Linked DNA regions of Bombyx mori. The protein of the gene in region 5 binds, or shares a complex with, the protein of the main gene of each other region. Links are inferred from orthologs where the notes say so. Each region holds a gene or a part of one and is shown on either strand. Other genes may lie near its edges. The genes, in order: vacuolar protein sorting-associated protein 72 homolog, histone acetyltransferase Tip60, transcription-associated protein 1, bromodomain-containing protein 8, mrg, ruvB-like helicase 1 and PHD finger protein 12.

Region 1 (2,398 bases), on a different chromosome or scaffold from region 5:
GTGGGTGGCGTATTTACGCTGTAGATGTCTATGGGCTCCAGTAACCACTTAACACCAGGTGGGCTGTGAGCTTGTCCACCCATCTAAGCAATAAAAAAAATCACTACATACATATTAACGCTTTCAATTTTAATTTCATCATCAGGTCCGATCACGTCTATCTCCATTTTAGTTTGAAGGTCTTCGGTCTGCTCTTCCTTTGTCTCAACTCGATCTGTATCGATTTTCTCATCAGGAGCATCCAAATCGGCTTGTGTTAATACACCTGCAATTAAGTTTGTCTCATGAATTTTATTATTTATGTACAGTGTTGTAATAAATAAATAAATTATAATACTGTCATTAGAAAGCTTCATGTGCTAGATCGGAAGTTCGGTTTGCTATTAAAGCATTTATTTATTTATTATAGTTATCTAAATCACGATTTACGAATTAATTTTAAACTTTTTTTTTTTATCTACAATCCACTTTAAAATATTATTTGTTTATTTGTATTAAATGGATTTATTGCTATTTCAAATTAAGGTCTTAAAAAAAAGAAATTCATATTAAGAACTCATAATAATGCCTATATTATTGCCATTTGTTTACTAGATTTTGGGTTATGATTTTTTTCACTCACAATATTCTTATACTTTTAATACTGAATATGAAATAGATAGATAGTTCATCATTTTCTACAATAAAATTGTTGAAGTATTATTGAAATCGGTATATGATCATTAGGGTTCATAAAACAGTGTAAATAATAAATAATCTTACCGTCTTCATTTTTTATGTTATCAGTTATGCTTATGTCCAGTGGCGGCGCACTGTTATCTACTTCGTCACGTTTGAGACACACGGGCACAGCAAATGAATGGTACCTATGAAATTAATTGCATAATGAAAGTTAAAAGTTTACTGATGGTAGGACCTCTTGTGAGTCCTCGCGGGTAGGTACCACCACCCTGCCTATTTCTGCCGTGAAGCAGTAATGCGTTTCGGTTCGAAGGGCCAGGCAGCCGTTGTAACTATACTTGAGACCTCAGAGCTTATATCTCAAGGTATGTGGCGGCATTTACGTCGTAGATGTCTATGGGCTCCAGTAACCATTTAACACCAGGTCGGCTGTGAGCTAGTCCAACAATGTGAGCCATAAAAAAAAAGTTGAACTAATAGTGTTAATATGTCACATCGAGGGGTGAAAGCCAATTTGGTTTAAGCGACATTTCGCTTACTACCCGACATTTATCTTTGTAATTAAAGGTGTGGTTTATTTGGTATCAGCTTCAACAATTCCATATTTTTAATTGAACTTCAATTAAGTCTACTCCAATCAAATAGCTGAAGAAGTCTTTTCTTATATCTATACTAATATATAAATCTACAGTGATTTTTACGGATGTTCCTACTGAACCATGCATCCTATTGACTTGAAACTTTGTATCCATGTAGAAAGTACATGTACTTATTGGATAAGCTAGTATTTATATCGACGCTTGAAAGGCAAACGTGACTAAGCGACAATAACTGCTTTGTACATAAATGATAGGCAATAGCCATATTCGATGCACAAAAAATATATATTTCTAGGTCTATTAAAATCATTTTAATCCTACAGCTAGATTCGTTAAAATATATTTTTTTTTCAGGTATTTCAACTTTAAATTAGTCTACTGTAAAGTTCACGCATTGTCGCTTAGTCACGTTTGCCTTTCAAGCGTCGATATGGTTGGACTCTCTAATAATAATGACAATAAATAATAATGTTAATTTTAAATGCGCAGCGAAGCGGGCGAGTGCGGCTAGTTTTTTATAAATTTTAAACTTTAAATGGCTCTACTGTAAAGTTGCAAAAATGTCGCTTAAACCAAATAAGCCTTTCACCGCTCGACATATATATCAATATATTTAAATGAGTACTTACTTTAGTACGGGTCCAGTTATAGTCTTTTTGATCGGTCTAATCTTCTTGCGTTCTAGTTCGATTTGTTCAAAACGTTCTGAAAACACAACAAATATAATTAAAATACTATGAAACTACAACATACAACAATACATACAACTAAATTAGTTTATATTTTACATCCGTATATACTTACTTATACTGGTGGTAGGACCTCTTGCGAGGCCGCACGGGTAGGTACCACCACGCTGCCTATTTCTGCCGTGAAGCAGTAATGCGTTTCGGTTTGAAGGGTGGGGCAGCCGTTGTAACTACACTGAGACCTTAGAATTTATTTCTCAAGGTGGGTACCGTATTTACGTTGTAGCTGTCTATGGGCTGCAGTAACCACTTAACACCAGGTAGGCTGTGAGCTAGTCCACCAGCCTAAGCAATAAAAAAAAATATGTGTCGTTGGTCCATTTTATGTTAGTTGATTAGTTGATCCTACAGAATTAAAAAAGCTGGTGG
Region 2 (3,500 bases), on a different chromosome or scaffold from region 5:
GAACGATATGCTTCCCTTGCGGTAAATCTCGTTGCCCGGCGGATGTTTTAGTTTGCATTTGATCTGGAAATAAGAATTACATCTATATATTAATACGTGGAGCAAAAACCTTATACCCATTTTTACGAAAATTGCGCGGACGGAGGAGTATGAAATTTTCCACATTTATAAGAGAATATAGAGTAGGAGTGAAGAATAATACTTTTTTTTTTAATTATGCATAATACATTAAATCAATAAATAAAAACGTTACACACACTACCATGCATTTGACACAACACATACGTATAAAATATATACTCTGTTTTATTGTCATTTGTCAAACTTTTGTTAATGTTTAAAATCTGTGGTCAACTTGAGAATAGATATATATATAACTATACTGAAACCGTAGAACTTATATCTCAAGGTGGGTGGCGCATTTACGTTGTAGATGTCCATGGGCTCCAGTAACCACTTAACATCAGGTGGGCTGTGAGCTCGTCCACCCATCTAAGCAATAAAATAATAAAAAGATTAATATTCTTTGCCTTTAATATTTATCTATAGTGTAGTTTTGGCGAAATATGTGATTATATTATAGAAGTTTAATGTGTTTGACAATAGAACCATAATAATGTTTAAATATACAATTTCAATTAATTATAGTCGAAATTTCGACTACCACTAATATTCACAAGTACGTAAAATGTAAGTTTTCAGTTTTTTTACAATGTAGCTAAATGCTCGTCTTGAAACACGAGTTTCAAGTCTCAGTTCTTTCTATAGTACAATAAACTACCCCACCCTTCAAGCCCTTCAAGGGTGATGGTAACTATTTACGTGCGGACTTACAACACGCCCTTCCATCAGTAATTGCGAAAATAATTTATTTGCGCGTTTGTTTTTTTTTATATTACACGCTGTTATTCCTTCATCGTGCAACATGCAACATCATGCATTTGTGAACATTTGTTAATTTATTTAAATAAAAAATAGAAAAATTGTTATCTGCCTGGGGGATTCGAACACCGGTACTGTCGCATCGTTCGATATAAAATGCACTGGACGTTTTATCCTCTAGGCCACGATGACTTCAGAAGACTTATTTAATTAAAAGTTTAAGGCTTCGTCAAACAGAACTCTAAACGCGTAATTAGCGCGCGTCAGAGCGCTAAACTGACGCCGCGCTATGACGCCGAGATGTGTTGTACTACTATGGTAACATACCGTCAAACAGAGCCCCAGCGCTATAAGTACGCAGCGCTCTGTCGCGGCGTTAGGACGTTTGACGTCAGGCATTGTAATTTTTTACAAATTTTATTTTGGCGTCTGAGTGAATGTGTATTAAAATACTAGATAATGCCCGAAAAAAATATATAAATAGTTAGAAAATACCCATGCTTATACAATGCCACATCTGAATTACTCGATTTCTTAATACTTTTAAATTTTCTCACTGCTATCGAAAGGCACTATGATTTGGCGAATGCGTTGCGTCAAGGAGCGTTGGACTCATCTAGTCAATTTGTGTGACATGAAAAGAGCGCGACGTTTAGTACGCGTTCTGTTTGACGAAGGCTTTAAAGTTCCTTAAGAAGCCCGATGCCGGTAATACACTTTAATATATACAATATGATTAATCGTTATTAAAACGACACACAAGTTTCTTACCAAGTGTCTTTCGAGGCATTTTTTGCTTTTCCTATATTTCAAACAGAACTCACAGATGTATATGCAAGGGAGATTCACCATTTCCTGAAAGTATAATTTTAATTCATTATTAAATGTCTAGTTTAAATTTAATGCCACTATTTATTAACATAGTTTTATTACCGCTGATAAAATAAATAGTCATTGAGAATTCGATAGCACTAATAAAAGTATTTTGAGCTGCTTTAATATATTATTATATCTAAAGATGACTAAGCTCGAAAAGAGTTTTTATTGCTCCAGTTCAGTGGTTCTCAACCATCGGATCGTGGTGTACCAAGTATGTCGCAAGATTTACAAATATGACAATTTTATCTAAGGTTACCCAAAGGAATTGCATCTCTGCGGTATATATGACGGAGATATATAATTGTCTACTACATATTAACTTTACAACTTTGTTTAGTAGATTATTAATATTTAATTTAATAAATATGTATATGTTACCGGAAATGTATGAAATCAAGGAATTGTATACAAATCCTAGGAAATGTGTACAATTCCGATACTATTTAGGAAATGTATAAAATATTGTTTGAAAAACTATTTAATGCATAGATATCCTAGGAAATGTATAAATTTCCTCGGAATTGTATATAATTCCAATATCGTATTAGGAAATGTATAAAGTAAATGCTTTCTGTAATAAAACGCGTTGTTAATAATATTTTTTTAATATAACACTTACTGAGACAATCGGGTAACAGTCATACCGTAAAATAATAATAATATGTTCATATTATCTTACTAATTAAAACTTCTAAAATCAACTATCTATTAACTTTTAACGTATCACAAAATCAACTTATATTTATTCTTATAAAATCAAATTTTCATTTGGCAAGTAATCAGTCTGATAATTAAATAATTATAAATGTCAAAGTATAAAAGTAAATCTTTATATGATAATACTTTGTCAGTCCATATAGCTATTTATTTTTGCAGGGTAAGCTCGAGTGGCATTTGGAAGTACATAATACTTTATTTTTAAAACACAGACATCTTGATGTAGCACAGTTTTTCTTGCAAAGGCACTTCTTAAGTCCCTGGAAGGTTCCAGTGGATTGCAAGTTGGCAACTGACCGTAGTGCAAGACTCGTCCCGCTGTCCCCGCATACCCACCAATATCTTAAATGTTTTACATTTCCGATTGCTATTTAGGAAATGTATAGATTTCCTAGGAAATGTGTAATGTGTAAGTATAATATAATTTATTTCACACATTTCCGTGCGATTTTAGGAATTACATACATTTCCTAAGAATTGTATACAATGACGGATTACATACATTTCCGTTAACATATATAAATATACCTACAACTATTATTTATGGCTATGGAATGAGCTCCCTTCCACGGTTTTTTTTCCGAGCGCTATGACATGTCCTTCAAACGAGGCTTGTGGAGAGTATTAAGCGATAGGCAGCGGCTCGGCTCTGCCCCTGGCATTGCTGAAGTCCATGGGCGACGGTAACCACTCACCATCATGTGGGCCGTGTGCTCGTCTGCCTACAAGGGCAATAAAAAAAAAAAACTATGCATTTAAATATGTGAAGTGCTAAAAAAGGTTGAAAGCCGCTGCTCTAGTCCAACAGACAATTACGGCACACCTGGTCTTCTTGAAGCCCACAGAGGTCAACAGTGAAAAACAGACTTCTCTATAAAATGCATAATATTTAAAACCGATAGCGATTAATTAACAAATATTTAAAGCCGATAGCGATTAATTAACAATGCATTTCACCTGGGGGTATGGCGCGAAGTACCAAGGTCGTATCCTGTGCCGTCCCAGTTCTATCATCTCGATGT
Region 3 (3,500 bases), on a different chromosome or scaffold from region 5:
TTAAAATAAGACTTGATCTAAAGGTCTTAGTTACCAGGTCATAAAATCCATAAAAATAGGTCACCACTCCCAACTTAGAATGTGAAAAACATACAAATAGTTCGAATACTTTACGGCAATAGATATCCCCGGAAAACGAAACACAGGGCAGTTTCTCGGGTGATAACTACTCTAACTATGCAGACTTAACTGTGGTTTTGATGGAAATGTTACTATAAAATGCAACGCAATTCGAATTTCTATTAGCAATTACTTACAGACGTGGTAGGTTGATGCGGTAAATGTGCAATGCTCTCGGCTGTTTTGTGACGCTCTCGCTGCTCAATCTTCAACGTTAAGTACAGAGTTCGGATTGGGAAGTATACGGCTTGTGGATATAATCGACCAACCTGAGTTACAAAATTAAAAAAAAACATCAAACAATATAATCAATATTCAACTTTCTATAAAAATAAATAACAAGTTTTCTTATATACATATATACTGAACTTTATCAGTTCGACTTTGACGGCGGCGATATTACGAAACCAATAAGTAAGCGAGTACTCACATGACTGAGCAGGTTGAGTATAACATTGCCGTCGTACTGCACGAGGCAGGCCAGCAGCTGCGGTATCCAGGGCAGCCACTGCACAGGCGGGACTCCGACTGAGTATTTATCTAATGCTTCTGCGAGACTATTCTTTTCGTCGTCGAAACTCAGCATCCATAACACCTAGAACAACGATTTGGTTATTTAACCTGAAGAGACGATGTATCATATTAATGTTACGCCGATAAGAGTAACGCCATCTATCGCCGAATATTCGAACGAATATCGAAGGATCTAGTAGCCCTAGAACGCTCGAGAAGCCCATCGCCATCTATTGTCAGATAGCGGAAACAATACTAGAGATGTGTGGACTATTCTCGATAATTCTAGGGATGTGGTATCGAGTATAAAAGCGTTGCAGGGATTGCACGCAGTCATCAGTAAGTATCTACAGTCGGCATCGCTGCGCCACTTTGAGAAGGCGGCACGACATGAGAACCCTCTTGTCGTGGCCGCCGGAAACTACATACCCGATCCTGTAGACCGTTTGGTAAACCGTCGACGTCGCCCAAAGCACGTCATCACGGATCCTCCTGATCCACTAACGGTGCTTTTAGGCAATACAAGCACCGGTCACCGTCCTCGCCGAACCCGTCGCTTGCCACGAAGGGCTCGACGAGCGAATTAACCCACAGACACAGCCCACTGAGTTTCTCGCCGGATCTTCTCAGTGGGTCGCGCTTCCGATCCGGTGGTAGATTCTGCGAAGCACTGCTCTTGCTAGGGCGGTGTTAGCAATTCTCCGGTTTGAGCCCCGCGAGCTCACCTACACAAGCTAGGGCAAGCTGAAATAGCCTCTCAAGGCTATCAGCATAGGTAGGGAAAAAAAAAAAAAAAAAACACGCAGTCAGTCAGTAATCAGAACTACTCGAAGCGAAACAGCGAACGGATCACCTGAAGCGAAGCGAAAGAAGCGAACTGAGAGTTTTAAGTGTTTTAAGTTTTCTAAGTGTTGATTACAGTTTTGAATTATACTTCGGTGGAATTTTATTTATCCCGAATCCCAGCGTGTAACATTAATAACGTCGTGTTCGTTGTTTACCTTGGCACAATATTTTCTAGACTTGGATTCATTTTGATGACGACACGCGTGCAGGAAGCAAGTCATGGCGGAGACGCCTACGGAGATCTGTCGCGGGTCGCGGATGAATATCTGTTCCAAGTAGTCGCCCCACAGCGCCCAGGCCTTCACGAGCGTGTCGTGCAGCTGCACCGCGGCGGCGAACGCTTTGTTCGCGTCGTCGGAGCGGCCCAGCTGCGCTAGAAGTAATCCTTTGAAAGCATAAAACTCGGCCGTCATTTCTTTAGTGAAATATTTGAAGTTAGTTGATTCGATCATATCCAATCCTTCCTGGAGCTCATCTTTGCCCTCGGTCCATGACATCTGAATGTGACATTTGACTTGTTGCCTTATCTTTTGGAAGCAGTCAACGATCGGTACGCTCGGTATTGTGTAAATTCTGTGTAGGGAATCCAGACACACTCCAGATAGGTTATGTTTTCTAGCTATTTTCGCAAAGTGAATAATGGCCTGCAAGAAAAGAAAAAAATAATGATTTAATTTTTTTTATCTTGATTTGCACGTATGTATGAATTTAATGAATTTAAACTCGAATTTGCATACCATTTTGTATGACTGCATTTTGTATAGGACGATTAAGCAGCAACTATAGTCCAAATAAACCCTAACTTAAATTCCGTTACTGTGATTGAGACAAAATTCAAGTGTCCATTGGTACAACGGCAGTACCCATACTATTATTTAAACCGAAAACTATGTATAATTAACCTCTCTTTGTACCTACTCGTTCGAGTGTTAAGATGAAGTGTGTAAACATGCAGTCTATAAATAAATAAAAAATATGATATGTTCTGTTTTAAGATAATCTATACAAATATTACAAAGCTGAAGAGTTTGTTTGTTTGAGCGCCTTAATCTGAGTGTTAAATAGCCCATTTATTGAGGAAGGCTATAGGCCATATAACATCACGGTAAGACCGGACACGTTCAGTGGAGCACCAATAAAGGATGTTTCAAAATAGGGGTTTAAATAGCTCTTTAACATTCTATAATTCAAAAATATTTTCACGCTCTACGTAAATGAAGTGGGTGGGTAAAATTTAGCGTTATGCCAAAGTAACTATTCCACGCGGACGGAGTCGCGGGAGAGAGCTAGTAAGGAATAAAAAATGACCTGAGCGCTGGCATGGACGCCAAGCATGCTGTGATTGGAGGCGTGGTCCGGCTGCGAGTCGTAGTGCGACGCGATGAACTGGTAGTGGTGCTGCCGCCACGTGAAGATGGCGCCCCAGTGCGACAGCGGGTCCGCCACCACGGGCAGCCGGTTGCGCCACGTCTTCACTATCGCCTTCATGTCGTGCAGGGACGTCGGCCGGCTGTGCACCAAGCCCTGGCCACGCAACCCAACACTTCATACAATGCGACACTGGAGGATCATTATCAGCATAATAAAATACATCATCAACAGCCCACAGTCGTCCACCGTTCGGAGGTCATCGCACCACCTAGCCAATAAAATACAATATTCAATTACTCTATTTTTGTTAGAAGTCATGTTAGAAACCAACAGTAAGTACTACAAACCTGGCTTCGTTTAGAGAAACGATTCCCTAGCACTCAATATACAAGTTAGTCAATATTCATAATACTGTTTGCGCATCATTCATTCTATCCACCTCTAACTTTAAGTATTGTTGATACTACAGTTATATATTTTAATAGATAAGTGAAAACACATTTAGCGACGGTTTCATTTATAATAAATAAGTGGTCATCGTTGTCGTCGAATCCGTTGCTTGCGACGAATGGCTCGACGAGTAAATTTACCCTCAGACACAGCCCACTGAGTTTCACGCCGGATCTTCTCAGTGGGTCACGTTTCCGATC
Region 4 (4,031 bases), on a different chromosome or scaffold from region 5:
CTGTGGTACAAAGGTAAAGAAAGATATATTACTAGCTTATATTTATGAGTCAAAGTGAAGTCGTCGTGGCCTAAAGGATAAGAGGTCCGGTGCATTCGTATGTAGCGATGCACTGGTGTGTAAAAATAAGACTTTGACTTAAAACTCTCATTACTAGGCTATAAAACCTTTTAAAAGTTGATGTTGATGTTGACACCGAACTGTCACTAAATGGTCAGATATTAGCCAATACTTAACAACTCTGACAGCACTTAAAGTTTTATAAAAAGCTTGAGATTTATAAAAAAAAAAAAGTGCGTGCGTACAAAGTACACATGTCAGAAGTGAAACTTTTTTGGCGAACTAATTTATAAGTCTTACTTATATTTATGCAAATCTAAAACTTTAGATTTCCAAGACTTAGAAGAAGGGAAAAAGGAAGATATGTTCCCGCCAAAAGTCTGTCAAATGTCAATCTCAAACCTCAGTGTTGACATTCACATTATGCTTAGATTTCTAAATTGTAGATGACTAATATTTTGCCAATTGAATTGACTAATTTAATTTCATGCTATGTTCCAAATTCTTTTCATTTCATTTCAATTCCTATTAACATTTTTCACAAAAAAATAAAATATTAGGCTGTATGATATGATACATTTGCCTTTCCAGTTGGAAAAATACAACAACTACTACTACTGACATTTGACAAGTACTTAATTTTAATAGTAGTTTGATGTCCTTCCGTTGCATACCTGCGTGACGTTCTGTAAAAATTTTACCCTCATAAAGAAGAAAGAAAGAAGTTTCACTTGAAAATTAAATACCTTCATTACTTCATGTTGTTGACTCATTTCAGCAATATTCTTCTGGATCTCGGCTATCCGATCTTGGGTTAAACGTTTCAATATACTCTCCTGTGGAGTTTCCACGCCACCGTCAGAGTTTCTCTTTTTTCGTTTCGGCGTTTCCACATGTTCTAATAGCGTTCCATATTGTGCAGCACAGCTGATGGATGGAAATGTGTTAATGACATACGGATAACGGAGCCCACAGTTCTTGTAGATCTAAATCTCATTATCATTCAGCTATCCAATGCTTCAGAGGAAGACATGACATCTACGCAGTTTGATATGGATTGAATAAGCTCATAAACAATATAACTATTTAAAATAATAGAATGAATATAATTAATTAGAGCTTTAGTGTCTTTCAAATAAGTTATTTGTAATTTTGTTAATTTTTTTATGAATAGGATTAATTTACTGGGGATTTAAGGAGCAATCTGCAAAATTTAAATTTTTTCATAGATTTTAAATAAAGAAGGTACATACTTAGTTAGACTCTTTTTATATGCCATTATATCAGAACTCTTTCCAAAGTGTAATTACATTAAATGATTTTATTTTAAAGCTAGTGCTATTTTATTATTTATTTTATTTATTTATTTATGTACACACAGAAAACAAGACACAGTACAGAGTAATAGGAAAATTATGTACAAAGGCACTACTTATTTCTTTGAGAAATCTCTTCCAGCAGACCTGCGAGAGGATAATGAGAATAATAATAAAATGTGATAAGTGTGTGTAGAACAAACTTATTGCTATATATGCTACTTATTTTAGTTTATTTGATAATATATTTTTATAAATTATTTATAATATTGAATATTCAATTGGCTTTTGACAATGATCTCATTTTATTTTGTTTAACTCGGTGTTATTGTTTTGTCAAAATGTTGTATTAACATTTCTTTTGAACATTTAATTATTGGGGCCACCCGCCATATAATATAAGAGCTGTGTTTAACCAATCCTAATGTTGTCAAAGTTATAGAGGGTGTCTTTTAGCGAGTGGAAAGACTTAAAGAGCGGACAGTTCACGTGGTATCGACATGTTATGCGTAGAGAGGAGATGCATGAGACTAGGAGATTTATGGAAATTGTAGTGCAAGGTAGAGGGGGAAAACTTGACCAAAGAAGACATGGATGGAGTGTGTGAATGACGATATGAGAGAGAGAGGAGTGTGTGTTGACCTATTATAGCCTACTAAATACTATAATAGCTCTACTGAATATAATTTTAAGTTTTATCGAGTTCAAATAACGTGGAAAGCGTGGTGGAATTTTCATTGGTGAATAATGCAAAAATGGTTTGAAAATAAAAAATAAATGTGTAAAAACGAATGTGTTTCTCATCAACTCAGCCACCACTTCACTATCGCAAGCTATTTCAAACCTGTATCAATAATTATATAGTAGATATAAAAGAAAAACAAAACCTTTTTTGGGAATACCAGTCCGGAGGCCTGTTTGGCTCGCCAAGGGTCTTTAGAGCGCGGGAAACCGACATCCAGTTCTGATCCCCGCTTCTGACCACGGCGGAGGCCAGGCATAGCTGTTCACGTATATTCCAAGTGTCCAGAGGAACTCTTTTGAGCTGAAGACGCTCTTGTATCGAGCTCATTTTGAGGTTATGTTTTGGAAATGGAGTTTCGAGATTACATAACTATTTATAGTTGTTTAATTGTCCATGTAATGTGTATTTACTGTTTTGAAAGTATATTATTTTTATTTTATTATTTAACTGTTTAGAACACAATTAATAAGTGTTTATTCTATGATACAAACGTCAAACATGATACAAAACAAATATATTTTTTTTAAAGTATTTAATGACCTGGTTATCAAGACCTTCGGGTCAAGTCTTATTTTAATTGTAATGAAAACTTTTTTATATGTAAAATTATAATATTTTATTTCATATTATAATTTTACATATAAATGAAGTTGATTAATATAAAACATGGCATGAAATGAAATCAAATGAAATGAAAACGAAATGGAATGAAAAAGAAATCAATTAAGATGAGATGATATAGGAAGAAAATATATAATCTCATTAAAATGGTTGTCATTTCATTGTAGACTTTTTCAGTGAAATTTTTGGAGGATCCCGAGAAGTTACGTTCAGCGGCTTGTTAGTTGGCGTGTTCAATTATTATTATTTCTTTTATTTATTGCTTAGATGGGGGAATGAGCTCACAGCTCACCTGGCGTTAAGTGGTTACTGGAGCCCATACAAGGTAAATGCGCCACCCACCTTGAGATATAGGTTCTAAGGTCTCAGTATAGTTATCTCGAATATATTAAGTGTATAAATCTATGATAGTTAGACTCTAATACACTTTTTAAATAAGATAGATCTATGACATATTTTTTGAAGTCGTCGTGGCCTAACGGATATGACGTCCGGTGCATTCGTGTTGAGCAATGCACCGGTGTTCGAATCCCGCAGGCGGGTACCAATTTTTCTAATGAAATACGTACTCAACAAATGTTCACGATTGATTTCCACGGTGAAGGAATAACATCGTGTAATAAAAATGAAACCCGCAAAATTATAATCTGTGTAATTACTGGTGGTAGGACCTCTTGTGAGTCCGCGCGGGTAGGCACCACCACCCTGCCTATTTCTGCCGTGAAGTAGTAATGCGTTTCGGTTTGAAGGGTGGGGTAGCCGTTGTAACTATACTTGAGACCTTAGAACTTATATCTCAAGGTGGGTGGCGCATTTACGTTGTGGATGTCTATGGGCTCCAGTAACCACTTGATACCAGGTGGGCTGTGAGCTCGTCCACCCATCTAAGATATAAAAAAATAAAAAAATATTTCCACTATTTTCCACAATCCACTGAGTTGTCTATGTCGTGGGGCGTTAGGGATGATAATCGCGTGCCAAGTGAGCCTTAGAATCGCCTACCGATTCGACACAATTAAAAATCTAATCTTTTAAAGTCCTTATAGGTTATTATTCCCAGTATGCGTTTAGGGTCATGTTTGTCATTTAGGCCTGAAACGAGTCACACGAAATTAATTATCAGCATTCAAACGACTTTTTAATTATTTTTAAGGAATTCCGGAAAATAAAATAATATCTCACATTAATTTCTCTCAAATTTTAGATACATATATTTTGTGTGTAACTTGAAACTTAGTTTTTCTTTAGTTAATTTTATGAGCTATGTCCCGCCGAGTTTCCCCTCTGCC
Region 5 (3,948 bases):
CCATTATTAGACGACTATTTTTGAACCCCAAAATTGTATGGAATGTTAAAGCGGTACACATATATAATTATCAACTTTTATATATAAGCATGAACTTAAGTAGGTGAACCTGTGTAGGAACATGAGTAGGTTCCAAAAGATTGCAATATGCGTGTGAGTGTGTGTTAAACATACGGACAGACATACTTAGGTTGATCAGATCCAGAATCAGCAGGTGTATCTTTACTCTGAGTTTTAGTTGTTTTTGCGGGAGCTGGTGTACTATCGGACTCTTTTACTGAAAAGAAAACATTAACATGAGTTTTAATGAGAGATAAAATTTAAATTGGATCTCACACTGAATGCCAACTATATTTACAATGGGAACTCATTTTCCTAAATACCTACTTGTTTTGTCATTATAATTTTTTTTTTTTTTTATTTGCGTTAATAAACCAACTACCTGTTGGAATACATCTTTTTAGTGGGTCGAGAACTGAATTGCATTCTTATGACAGCTGTCCTATCCTTTAAATCAGCAACAAGCTGCTTCGTAACTGTATTAGTGAGGATATCTGTTCTTCTTTTAATAAAAGGATTTCTAAGTGCGGGTTGTATAAAGACACACACACAGTGAACTGCTTTGTTACCCAACACATGTTCTTAAGTTCATAATTAAATAATAAAATATAATAATAATAACAATAAAGTGAAACAGTGTGAACATCGCTTTGTTTGTCAAAACATATGGTTCGAAATAAGCAGGCCATTCCAGAGAAAATTTTAATGTGAGTAAAAGGAATCCTTCAAAATCCATCCCAGCTTCTCCTCGTTGTGATTAGATCCAATTTTATTTTAAACAAAAACTAAGGCGAGACAAAACTGACACACTTTAATAATTTGCTAAACAGAAGTAACATACTTTAGAATTGCTAATTTTTTTAAGTTACCTTTTGCTGACTTTCATCCACAAATAAAAAAAAAAAAAACACTAATTGGAAAGCATTAGGTTCCTGGTGTCCATAGCTTTGATACATCAATAAAAACACCATAATACTATAGCTATCGACTTCTTATTCATCTTGAATTTTTAGGCTTCCAAATCTAATAACCTTAGCAAGCTTCTGTTAATGATAACAAAAATACCTTGAGTACTACTCGCAGGGGTAGATGCTCTTGATTCTTCTCTAGCTGGAGTAGTTGCAGCAACTGCTGCATCAGATTTCCTACCCTTTGCGGGAGCTGCAATTGTATTTAATATTGCAGATTTTTAGACTGTTGTACAGAATGATCATATTGGTTTATTTAATTTTCAAGAATCTATTGCAAAATCAAGAAGTAATACCCATTAAAACTATAAATCACCTGTTGTCATATTTTTACATTTGTAACTATCACAAAAACTATAAAAGTATAGACAGTACATAAAATGCCAGGATGAACTAATAAAAATAAGAACAGACTTTTTCTTATCATGTCTACTTTACTGTCAAACTCGCAAAACTAAGAAAATGTTAATTTAAATAAATCAAAGTAACAACAATATCTTATACTAGTTCATACAGATTCTAAATCTGATTTGTTTTCCTATATATAAAAATTTAAAGTATTTTTCAAATTCATAAAATATGTACAAATCAACTGATTTTTAATCCTTATACTTGCACCACCCTCTAGAATTGCAAGAGACAATCCAGTGTTTAATGGTATTATTTCTTTTAATTATAAAACCAAATATTTCCATGGTTCCAAATATTTTTAAATGTAACTTAGAAAACGGTGTAAATTACTAACTTTTCTTAGTTTTAGTTGGTTGTGCGGAATGAGCTCTTTGGACTTCTTTCTGCCTTTGTACATTTGCTTCATTGTACTTCAGAACACGGCTTTCAGGCACCCATTCATCCCAACTGAAATAACATTAAGACATTTATAATATACAATTTGTATTTCTCTTTTCAGTAGTTTTTCATATCATACAGCTAAATAAATTTGGTTTAAATTTAATGTTTATTAATCTACTAATAATTTTAGTGGTATGGATTCAGTCCACTGTAATTTTATTATAAGTATTAAGACTATTAAGTTAGATTTCTATAAAATACTTTTAATTTTATTGTTAAAATATTTTGATGCAATCCTTTAATTTGTTTTTAAGTCGGTGAGTTTTTAATCTTGTGTAGTTTTGAACTTCATGTGTTCTTGTGTTATTATTGATCAATGTTATAATATATTATTGTTTAACAGTTTAACATTAACCAATAAAATTTTTGGTGTGGTGCTATATGATTATAATTTTGAACAGCAAAATAAAATACTGTGAATATCACTAAATTTCTTAACTTAAGCTTTATTGTATGAATTATAATGTATAGCTTGCAGGTTTTTATAAAATAATAGTACATACTTTAATGGTAGATACTAATTACTATTGAATCCTTTCAAGTCTTCGTGATTCAATCGGTCACCGTTCAACAAATTTCGTTTACATTACTTGTCTTAATTTTCGTCAAATCTGACATCCAAATGACTTACTTTTTGTTCCATCCCGCGTAATGAATAAGATACCTCACGTGTTTGTCCTTTGTAACTGAGCTTTTTAAACATTTTGCTTCATAAATTAGCGGTCCGTGGAAACATAGCACTTTTTCACCTGAAATTAAGGAATTTGCATTGAAATAAATTACGGTAAATAAACCGATAAATATTTTCAAATAAATTAATTGATTCTAAACATTTATACTGAATAGTGTACTAAAAATAATTTACCTTCAGCAAATTTTAACTTTGGTGCCATTGCTACATAATGTGATTATTTGTTTACAGTTTACAAATGGCTGACTGACTTGTGACTTGAGTCGTTTAATTTTTACAAAAGAGGAAAGGCGAAGGTAAAAGACCATACTGCCAAATGTTTCCTGTGTTACACATAAAATGAAAATAAAGTTAATTTACAATAATAATTAACTATAGAATTATATTTTAACCTGCTTTATACATATTAAGCTATATAAATTTAGGGCGAAAATGGGCATCCTTGTTAACTAGTCAGTTTTGCCTTAGGTAGCTGTGTAGCCATGGAGGATAGAACTAAGGAATATCATTTTGTATAGAGGACAAGTTGAAAAAGTCTCCACCTCTAAACGGTAAGATATTGTTCGAAGACTCACCGAAATATCGCTAGTATAGAAAGTGCAAATGATATGAACACAGCAGTTTTAAACAAACTGAAATGTACTAGATGGCAGTGAAGGCTATGTTCCGATCATTAATTGAAATTCTGGAACTATTCAATTTGTCTATGTGTGTTCTCTGTATTTGTATTACGCAGCATTATATTAAAGTTTTATCTAGTCTTTGCTACACATATGGAGGGTAGAACTAAGAAGTACCATCTCAGTATAATAAAAAGTGTCTGCTGAAAGGAATATAATTAAGCTGGCGCCATAGAAGCAAGTGGAAAGATTTAAAAAACAGCGCCATAAACTACCACCCTTCGGTTATGTTCTAGCTTGCACTGCGAGTACTGTAAAGTCGGATGTCAATATAGCGAAGCTGTTCCTTCATAGTTAGATATATTGGTTACTATTTAAAACGGAACGCAGCATAGTATACTGTCATCACATTTTTTTTGCGTTGTTTTCACTTCAACAAAAATTAGCGGTTTCATATACAAACTGTATAACATGGGACTACAGACTCGTGCTCATCATACGAGACTTGTTGAATTGTTCGTTTCGATATTGAGTAGAGGGAGCTCACTCTCGCCCCCGTCATCTGACGGCCAGAGTCCCACAAGGCTCCGCGCTCTCCCCGTTATTATGTAGTTTGTATATCAATGATATACCCCGGTCTGCGGAGACCCATCTAGCGCTTTTCGCAAATGACACGGCTATCTACTACTCGTGTAGGAAGAAGTGGCTATTGCATCGGCAATTCCAGATCACAGTAGCCACTGTTGAATAGTAGTTC
Region 6 (4,225 bases), on a different chromosome or scaffold from region 5:
CGGTGGCACTTCGAAGCGACGGCGAGAAAATCGTTATAGTATATCCGAGTAACGTGAGGGACGAGCGCAAGATTCGTTCGCACTCGTATCCTGAGGAGATGCAGTTCGAGGCTCTGTACCACCACACGGCCGCGCCCAAAGACCTACGTGTCGACCTGCCTACCTTTACCCCTCCCACGTCGACAGCAGCCCCCAGTTCGACTACGACAGTGAAAAAGTAGTTACCCGTAGGACAAACGTCTTCATGACGTGTAATTTAAGTAGTCATATAGGTACACATTTGTAAATTATTTCCTTGTAAATATCATGGACGAAATACCAAATCGGCGTATTGTTAAAAACATATTGTTATTAATTTTGTCACTTAGAGTCATAATGCCAATTGTTTAGTATTAACAACGTTGACTGAATATGCCTGAACAGTAAAAAACCATTATGTAAATAACGATTGTCTAGACAAATTTAGAATAGGTGACGTTTTGTATGAATAAAAAAAAAACTTATTTATTACACAAATCCAGTTTCATTTATTGTTAAATTCACATTTAATACGACAAACATAAAGGTTGACTCCAAATTAACGCAACATTCTTCATTTCCTTACAAATATGAATTATGAAATACTAAACGTAAATATCACATGTGTTTTATGAATAATACGGCGAGAGGTATAGAGAAAATACCGGTCTAAAGATTCATTAAATATTAAGCACCAAAAACATACTCATACTCCCAGACAATACCGGTATACTCTATAATTAATTGAATAGATCTATAATTATTTGCATTGGAAAAGACTAACATCATTTTAAAAAATTAAAAAGATTGTTTTGCCTTTTAAGTAACCGTTTTAAAACTGTAACAAACATTGGTCAAAATAATATTTTGCTACATTAATCTTAAATTCAAGGATTTAAGATAACAAGTTTTACTAAGTTGTAAATCAGAAGGAAAACCTCGTGCACGTGCGTGCTCTGCTGTTACCAGCGCGTGAGTTGATATATGGACAGTTTGACATTATCGATATGAACGTAAAAAAGCATCCTATCTATCTGATATTCAAATTACTCTATATTTTTGTATTATTTTTACTGCATGTATTTATCGGAATGTTGAGTGAGGATTTTGGCTGAAGCTTTAGCGTCAAGGAACAGCGTGTGGACCGAGGACACGTGCGCCGGCGATATGCGCTGGCAGCCGTCGGCTCGCGCGGCCAACATCGCCGGAGTTAGCAGCTGAACTGCGTACCTGTAAGAAATCGTAAAAGCATAAGTACCTGCAATAAGTCGTATAAACAAGTATTTTGAAGGCGTCGTGGCCTAAAGGATAAGACGTCCGGTGCATTCGTGTTGAGCGATGCACCGGTGTTCGAATCTCGCAGGCGGGTACCAATTTTTCTACTGAAGTACGTACTCAACAAATGTTCACGATTGACTTCCACGGTGAAGGAATAACATCGTGTAATAAAAATCAGACCCGCAAAATTATAATTTGCGTAATTACTGGTGGTAGGACCTCTTGTGAGTCCGCGCGGGTAGGTAACACCGTCCTGCCTATTTCTGCCGTAAAGGCGTTTCGGTTTGAAGGGTAGGGCAGCCGTTGTAACTATACTGAGATCTTAAAACTTATATCCCAAGGTGGGTGGCGTATTTACGTCGTAGATGTCTATGGGCTCCAGTAACCACTTAACACCAGATGAGCTGTGCGCTCGTCCACCATCTACTATCTACCAATATTGTTACTATAATACTTTTGCTTAACATCCTGTATACATATATAGGGATAAAATAAATCACTTTTATTGTTATTATATGGCATGTTAATAAGCCATCATGATGAAGACTAACGAAAACCACGGAAAATACAAATGTTCATTAACCTGAGCGTCGTGTGAGCTCCAATCTCAGAGAGCGCCGACAAAGCTTCGTCCTCGATTGAAATTCCTTCTGTGACCGCACGGAGCTTTAATATCTTTAACAAAACACGATTTATACGATATAAAAATAGGCACTTGCAACTTATAGTTGTTTGTTAGTTCAAAGGACAATACCCATTTGTGCCCCAGAAACGCCCAGTTAAAGTACATATATTACAAAATTGCTCTAATAAATAAAAACTAGAATTATGTTGTTAATTTTAAATCATATGAAGCACTGGATAAAAAAATTTAAAAAAATAAGACTTCTTATTGACATTGCAGTACGTATCATCGTTTTTTTAATCATTAATTCATGCTTTATTTATTACGGTCTGGTTGACACTATACAATGGAGACAAACTAGATATTTCCAAATAACTGACATGTTTATTTGATAGTATTGGCGAGGAAGAGGAGGCAAGCAGTGGTGTACAGACGAAATTAATATTTTATTTTTCCTTCCAAATTATATTTGAAATAACGGCCGTGACAATAATACAGGTACACAGGTGTTGTGCGTAAGGTTGCTGCGAGAGAAGTGACGGTGCGGTCGGAGTAGTGCTCGTTGACCGATTTCCTTTCTTTTTTTGGTAGTTTTTGTGCGCATAGACAGATAGCATACAGATAAGTATTTAAAAGAACACTGATCTGGCTTAGCTTATGTGATGATCATGAAGTTCCTAGTGAAAAACTAACAGCAATGTAGTCTGTAAGCGATAAAATGGATAAAAAACCACTAGGAAGTTATCATGTTTAATGTCCAATATCTTTTGAACCTGTGCTTTATATGACATTAAATCTAGATATCATATAAATACTGTTAAAAATCTATCATATGGCATAGAGCTGCAATTTGGGCCTTGCAGGGCATTGTTGTCTTTCAGCTCCATACTAATAATAATATGGGCATTGTCCTTTATCATTCACATTTCTAAATTCATTCAATCATTCATATTTCTTGTAATTTATTTAGCATAATATCTCATCCAGTTGTTACGCAGTCAACGAAAGTTAAAAAAGATGGCCTCAGGTGCCTTATGATGAGCCAGAACTGACCACCTAATATTTCTGCCTTAAACAAATCGAAATCTACAATGCAATTAATGTGTGGTATAAATCAAACACCACAAAAATTCTAATTTGCATAATTATAGTTAGGTACGTCTACTATTTTTAGCATGAAGCAGTCACTAACTATAAAAATAATGTTCTAAAATTATAATTTAAAAACAATTAAAACGGTTAAGGCTAATACAGAAACATACCTGTAAAAGTTCTGCTTTGTTATACGGGAGAGTGCGTATTATTAATAACCTATCTAATAGATCTAGTGGAATGCCGTGTGGTGATACAATGTCTTCTGTCCCTCTGGAAAACACACAAATTAATAAATTAGGGTTATTAAAATTGCAGTAAGAGTGAAATGCTACGCGCCACTAATTGTACCAAAAATGTAAATAACTAACAAAAAAAAAAAATTAGAATCATATTCATAGACATTCAACATTTTGTCATTTATTAATTTGAAAATAAATTAATTAATTAATAACAGCATACATATTTATTTACTATGCACACGGAAAACGATAAGGTCGGACATCGTGATAAAGTATTAAGGGTCACTGACCACTGCCAATGAATACTTAAGTTTGATAAATAATCAATAGTAAGTCTTAAAATTTACCTGATTTGACAACGCCCTCTGTTTGTAGCAAATATAACAATTGGTGCTATCGCGGACTCCAACGCTCGATGTAGGTATGTGAAAGTTTCAATGTCCAGCATGTGTACCTGAAGTAAATAAGTTTTGTTATTTATCTAATGCAAAAAAAATATATCAATAGCTTTAATCACTTTTATTCAGTATATATGTGTACCTACCTCATCAATGAATAGCACACCAGGAACCAGTTCTGCAATCCCTTGATCTATGTATTTGTTCACAACTTTATTGATCTCTTTTCGAAGTTTATCTGAAACACAACAAAAAGTAAAATACCTCAGAAAGAACGAGAGTTAGCAATTGACCTTTTTTTTAATTAAGAATTATACTTTTTCAGATACCACTTCTAAACATTATAAAGTAACACACCTGTTATTTCAGTCTTCTTTGGTTTCATGAGTTGTCCCATCATAGACATAATGTCATGACCTCCCTGCGGTCTTGCATTAGCACAATCCAAATCGTGTAAGGTTACATCTTGTACAACTTCTTTCTTTTTGTGTACATCACCTTTGGGTAGCGGAACATATTCTTCAGCCTAGGAAACAAGTTCAAAGTTGATTATCATCCAAAGAGGGGATTAA
Region 7 (3,500 bases), on a different chromosome or scaffold from region 5:
AAGGGTGGGGCAACTGTTGTACTGTAAAAATTGAGGCCTTAGATCTTATATCTCGAGGAAGGTGGCATTATGTTGTTGATGAGCTCCGGTAACCCTTTAACACGAGGCGGGTCGTAAGCTTGTCCATCCATACAAGGAATTATAACATACAACATACATCTACATTAAGCAAAAAATAATTAAAATATCATACTCATTGGAGTCACTAGCCACCATGAGTAGACATCTGTCGCCCCTTTTCTGAAGGAGCTATCTTTGAATGTTCAGAAGCTAGAGCCGGGCTTCAGTGCGAACATTAATGTTGATGCAAAGCTCGTTATTTCAACGCGGCTCTGACACCGCCGAAGTGTGTGTGGGGACGCCGTGGTGGTAACACAAGCTCGTGGTGTACAGCGCGGGGCCGGGCGACTCCCTGGGCCGGCCGGTGCCCATGCGGCTGTCGTCGCTGACCGTGGGCTCGGACAGCGGCTGTGACGTCACACTCGACCCCGCCCTTTGCCGGTGCGTCTCCCGGAACCACGCCGTTATATTCATGGACGAGGTCAGTTAAATACTTTGCTTTTGTTCAAATATTAATGACGCCACTCTACGCAGCACGAAGAAATCTCCCTGGCCGAACACAACCGGCGCCCCCCTTCCACGTCCCGCTCGGCCCTGGATGTCAGAAATCTTCGTATTTTCGTCTTTATAATAACCGGCAAATTTCTTGAGCATTTGTTGACGTAGTGGGGGTAAGTTTGCGCATGGTACACTCACGTGCAAAAACATTACTTACTCTGCGTCATAATGCTATTAAATTATTAAAATCAACATATGTATTTATTTATATATTTATTAGAACATCAACAAAACATATAGGTTAATAATTGTAATAATTTAATCTTGGGGTAAAATAGATATTCCTTCTATTAAGTCAAAACTAGAGCTGTTGCCAGGTCTTGGTTCAGTTAAAGCGAAGCTGGTATTTGTAATTTTTTTTTCGTTATCATAATCTTGACCATCATCATCATCACTGTTTTCATCACCCGAGTCGCTATCATCGTGATGAGTCGACATAGGGCTCATCGGCGTAGTTTACAACTCTGTCGATTCGGTCTTCTTTTTTGTCTATAATTAATTATTTTTTGAAGATATTCGATTCGTAGTAATCGAATGTTACTTTTTTCATTTACCAGCTTCCGATTATTTTCTGTTCTTTTTTTCCATCTGAAGCCTAGCTCTTTCATAATTCGTCGTAAGCTTCATTCCGAGCCATTAAAATTTATATCTTCTTTAAATTCTTCGAAGCCTTTCTACGGTACGGAGTTTCGCTGCTTGTTATGTAGTTATTATGATTACATCTTTTTATTACAGATTGAACGAAACTATCCATTCCGGTAACTTTCTTCTTCCCTGATCTTTTCTTACCCGGAGTCCGAAACACTGCGAGCAAGCCAGAGCCTTTAGCTTCGTTAATAATACACCTAACAGTACTCACTGATGTTTTTGTTGCTTCCGAAGTCTGTTTTAATTTTTCCATATCATTCTTCCCCTGTTTTATAATGAAGCAATATACGTCGTACACAAATTTTCTACCCTTTCTTTTAAGTACTACACAAGTTTGTCGCGGCATAGTGTATTTTTTATAAAAAATCAACAAATACTCAACAAATAGCAATGGCAACAAAGTCAACAAGCAATTATAACAAAATTTATTAACGATTAATAACGATAGACTTTTCACTGTACGCAAGCGTACTTTTGGGAGCAAGCGGAACGAGGGCGCGGTGCGGGACGCAAGGTTCGACTGATCTACCAATAACGCGCTCGATACGATTTCCCCTGCCGTCGCGCCTCACCCTCACCACCAAAGTGATCTAAAATTCGGTTCTGCGCAGTCAAGGTCATTTGCTCAAGAAGTTTGCCGGTTACTATATCAAACGTATCTAGCGATGCACCGGTGTTCGAATCTCGCGGCGGGTACTAATTTTTGTAATGAAATACGTACTTAACTAATGTTCACGATTGACTTCCACGGTGAAGGAATAACATCGTGTAATATAAAATCAAACCCGCATAATTATAATTTGCGTAATTACTGGTGATAGGACCTCTTGTGAGTCCGCACGGGTAGTTACCACCACCCTGCCTATTTCTACCGTGAAGCAGTAATGCATTTCGGTTTGAAGGGTGGGGCAGCCGTTGTACTGTTTCAAGTGAGGCCTTAGAACTCATGTCTTAAGGTGGCTGGCAGCTACGTTGTAGATGTCTATGCGCTCCGATAACCAATCAAAACCAGGTTGGATGTGAGCTAGTCCGCCCATCTAAAAAAAAAAAATGTGTGCGTGTACTAGTGTACACACGTAAGAAGTGAAACTTATTTATGGCCTTATTTTTCGAAAAATGATCTACATGCAACTTTCTAGAAATTGGTTAAATAAAGTTAAATTAGATAAAGTTTAAACAAAAGGATTTTATTATCATAGACATGAATACAAAAAAGTTAAATTAGATAAAGTTTAAACAAAAGGATTTTATTATCATAGACATGAATACAAAACAGATGGCGCGTAACGGAAAAATGTGACGCGTAACCGAAAAATGTGACGGTAAATTTTTTTCCAACGCCGATAAGGAAGTTTCACTTCAAAAAAAAGGAAGACTATATACTGGAAATTCAATATGGGTACTCATAAAGCCTTGTGCTTTTATTAACATCACATGTTGTTTTACAGGTGAGCGGACACTTCGAGCTGATCAACTACTCCGAGTTCGGCAGTCGCGTTAACGGCGTGCTGTACACGTGCGACCCCCTCGCCGCCGCCCCCGCCCCCACCCCCGCGGCGGACGACGCTCTGCCGCGCGCGCTTCGAGATGTCGTCAAAGAGAAGGACTCCCCGCTCGACAGGTGCCAAATTTTTTTCTGTGTCTAATAATAACTGAAATTCATGTTATTTACGACTGACCGGCTGCCGTACCTAGACTGCCGATGGCTTCGTCCTTGGGGTAGGCCGCGCGTCTGGCTGCAATGTTGACTGCCCAGGTTCTGACCTCGGGGGAGATCGGACTCTTGGTCAAGAGTGTACCTGAATCGTTTAGTGGTTATTGGCCCTAAATTCCATTTCTTAAATCCGTGGTCTGCTCCCAATATCTGTGGATCATTCAGCCTAACATACCCCGTACGCCCCCTAGGGAAGGGGACCTTGTAAGAAGGGGTCTAAAAAAGGGGCACTGGGCCCAGGGACAACTAGCACTTTAATGGTTGCATTTCTACTGCCGTTACGTTTGTTTTTTTATTGCTTAAAAAAAGGCTAGTAACAAAAGACAACCGCTCTGTTCTGTCATCCATAACATGTTATATATCTCACGCATTGTTACAGGATAAAAGGTGACATCACGGAGCCCACGTCGTGGTGCTCGGCGTGCTCGTGCGGCGCGGGCGCGGGGGCGGGGGCGGGTGCGGGCGCGGGCGCGGCGGCGGGCGCGTGGGAGGGCTCGGCGCTGGTGCCGCACGGCGCGCT

Evidence for each region.
Region 1: mrg (region 5) and vacuolar protein sorting-associated protein 72 homolog share a complex: the UniProt entries of both Homo sapiens proteins name them as parts of the nuA4 histone acetyltransferase complex. The link is inferred for Bombyx mori from reciprocal best matches to the Homo sapiens genes MORF4L1 and VPS72.
Region 2: mrg (region 5) and histone acetyltransferase Tip60 share a complex: the UniProt entries of both Homo sapiens proteins name them as parts of the nuA4 histone acetyltransferase complex. The link is inferred for Bombyx mori from reciprocal best matches to the Homo sapiens genes MORF4L1 and KAT5.
Region 3: mrg (region 5) and transcription-associated protein 1 share a complex: the UniProt entries of both Homo sapiens proteins name them as parts of the nuA4 histone acetyltransferase complex. The link is inferred for Bombyx mori from reciprocal best matches to the Homo sapiens genes MORF4L1 and TRRAP.
Region 4: mrg (region 5) and bromodomain-containing protein 8 share a complex: the UniProt entries of both Homo sapiens proteins name them as parts of the nuA4 histone acetyltransferase complex. The link is inferred for Bombyx mori from reciprocal best matches to the Homo sapiens genes MORF4L1 and BRD8.
Region 6: mrg (region 5) and ruvB-like helicase 1 share a complex: the UniProt entries of both Homo sapiens proteins name them as parts of the nuA4 histone acetyltransferase complex. The link is inferred for Bombyx mori from reciprocal best matches to the Homo sapiens genes MORF4L1 and RUVBL1.
Region 7: the proteins of mrg (region 5) and PHD finger protein 12 are in contact, whole or in part, in a cryo-EM structure (PDB 8BPA), measured with the Homo sapiens proteins. The link is inferred for Bombyx mori from reciprocal best matches to the Homo sapiens genes MORF4L1 and PHF12. Residues at the interface, in NP_996670.1 of Homo sapiens: Glu201, Lys204, Pro205, Leu207, Val208, Asp209, Trp211, Asp212, Tyr251, Ala252, Glu255, Val256, Gly259, Ile260, Glu262, Tyr263, Val266, Met267, Thr270, Gln271, Leu272, Leu273, Tyr274, Lys275, Arg278, Pro279, Tyr281, Ala282, Leu285, Arg304; in NP_001028733.1 of Homo sapiens: Cys62, Glu64, Gln81, Cys82, Asn84, Pro86, Pro204, Leu206, Arg207, Arg208, Pro209, Phe210, Leu212, Leu213, Ile214, Ala216, Ala217, Arg220, Asn221, Pro222, Thr223, Gln224, Phe225, Gln226, Leu227, Pro228, Glu230, Leu231, Thr232, Thr330.

What each region holds. Positions count from the first base shown.
Region 1 is NC_085112.1:12,275,051-12,277,448, reverse strand, and holds part of vacuolar protein sorting-associated protein 72 homolog, read right to left. Parts: intron 1,986-2,398; coding exon 1,910-1,985; intron 867-1,909; coding exon 763-866; intron 266-762; coding exon 112-265; intron 1-111. UniProt on the Homo sapiens protein: Deposition-and-exchange histone chaperone specific for H2AZ1, specifically chaperones H2AZ1 and deposits it into nucleosomes.
Region 2 is NC_085124.1:9,221,765-9,225,264, reverse strand, and holds part of histone acetyltransferase Tip60, read right to left. Parts: coding exon 3,436-3,500; intron 1,738-3,435; coding exon 1,654-1,737; intron 64-1,653; coding exon 1-63. UniProt on the Homo sapiens protein: Catalytic subunit of the NuA4 histone acetyltransferase complex, a multiprotein complex involved in transcriptional activation of select genes principally by acetylation of nucleosomal histones H2A and H4.
Region 3 is NC_085110.1:5,834,481-5,837,980, reverse strand, and holds part of transcription-associated protein 1, read right to left. Parts: intron 3,004-3,500; coding exon 2,788-3,003; intron 2,124-2,787; coding exon 1,635-2,123; intron 716-1,634; coding exon 551-715; intron 390-550; coding exon 258-389; intron 1-257. UniProt on the Homo sapiens protein: Adapter protein, which is found in various multiprotein chromatin complexes with histone acetyltransferase activity (HAT), which gives a specific tag for epigenetic transcription activation.
Region 4 is NC_085117.1:1,939,524-1,943,554, forward strand, and holds the start of bromodomain-containing protein 8, read right to left. Parts: upstream 2,801-4,031; 5' UTR 2,449-2,800; coding exon 2,264-2,448; intron 988-2,263; coding exon 807-987; intron 1-806. Other genes in the region: uncharacterized protein LOC101740762, read right to left, coding at 3,997-4,031. UniProt on the Homo sapiens protein: May act as a coactivator during transcriptional activation by hormone-activated nuclear receptors (NR). Isoform 2 stimulates transcriptional activation by AR/DHTR, ESR1/NR3A1, RXRA/NR2B1 and THRB/ERBA2.
Region 5 is NC_085127.1:11,194,657-11,198,604, reverse strand, and holds the start of mrg (mortality factor 4-like), read right to left. Parts: upstream 2,801-3,948; 5' UTR 2,774-2,800; coding exon 2,746-2,773; intron 2,630-2,745; coding exon 2,512-2,629; intron 1,887-2,511; coding exon 1,774-1,886; intron 1,222-1,773; coding exon 1,126-1,221; intron 278-1,125; coding exon 187-277; intron 157-186; exon of another isoform or gene 1-156. UniProt on the Homo sapiens protein: Component of the NuA4 histone acetyltransferase (HAT) complex which is involved in transcriptional activation of select genes principally by acetylation of nucleosomal histones H4 and H2A.
Region 6 is NC_085128.1:12,881,644-12,885,868, forward strand, and holds the end of ruvB-like helicase 1, read right to left. Parts: intron 4,180-4,225; coding exon 4,011-4,179; intron 3,892-4,010; coding exon 3,800-3,891; intron 3,710-3,799; coding exon 3,603-3,709; intron 3,287-3,602; coding exon 3,184-3,286; intron 1,972-3,183; coding exon 1,880-1,971; intron 1,249-1,879; coding exon 1,089-1,248; 3' UTR 501-1,088; downstream 1-500. Other genes in the region: uncharacterized protein LOC101739682, read left to right, coding at 1-221. UniProt on the Homo sapiens protein: Possesses single-stranded DNA-stimulated ATPase and ATP-dependent DNA helicase (3' to 5') activity; hexamerization is thought to be critical for ATP hydrolysis and adjacent subunits in the ring-like structure contribute to the ATPase activity.
Region 7 is NC_085122.1:14,108,160-14,111,659, reverse strand, and holds part of PHD finger protein 12, read left to right. Parts: intron 1-393; coding exon 394-541; intron 542-2,714; coding exon 2,715-2,887; intron 2,888-3,359; coding exon 3,360-3,500.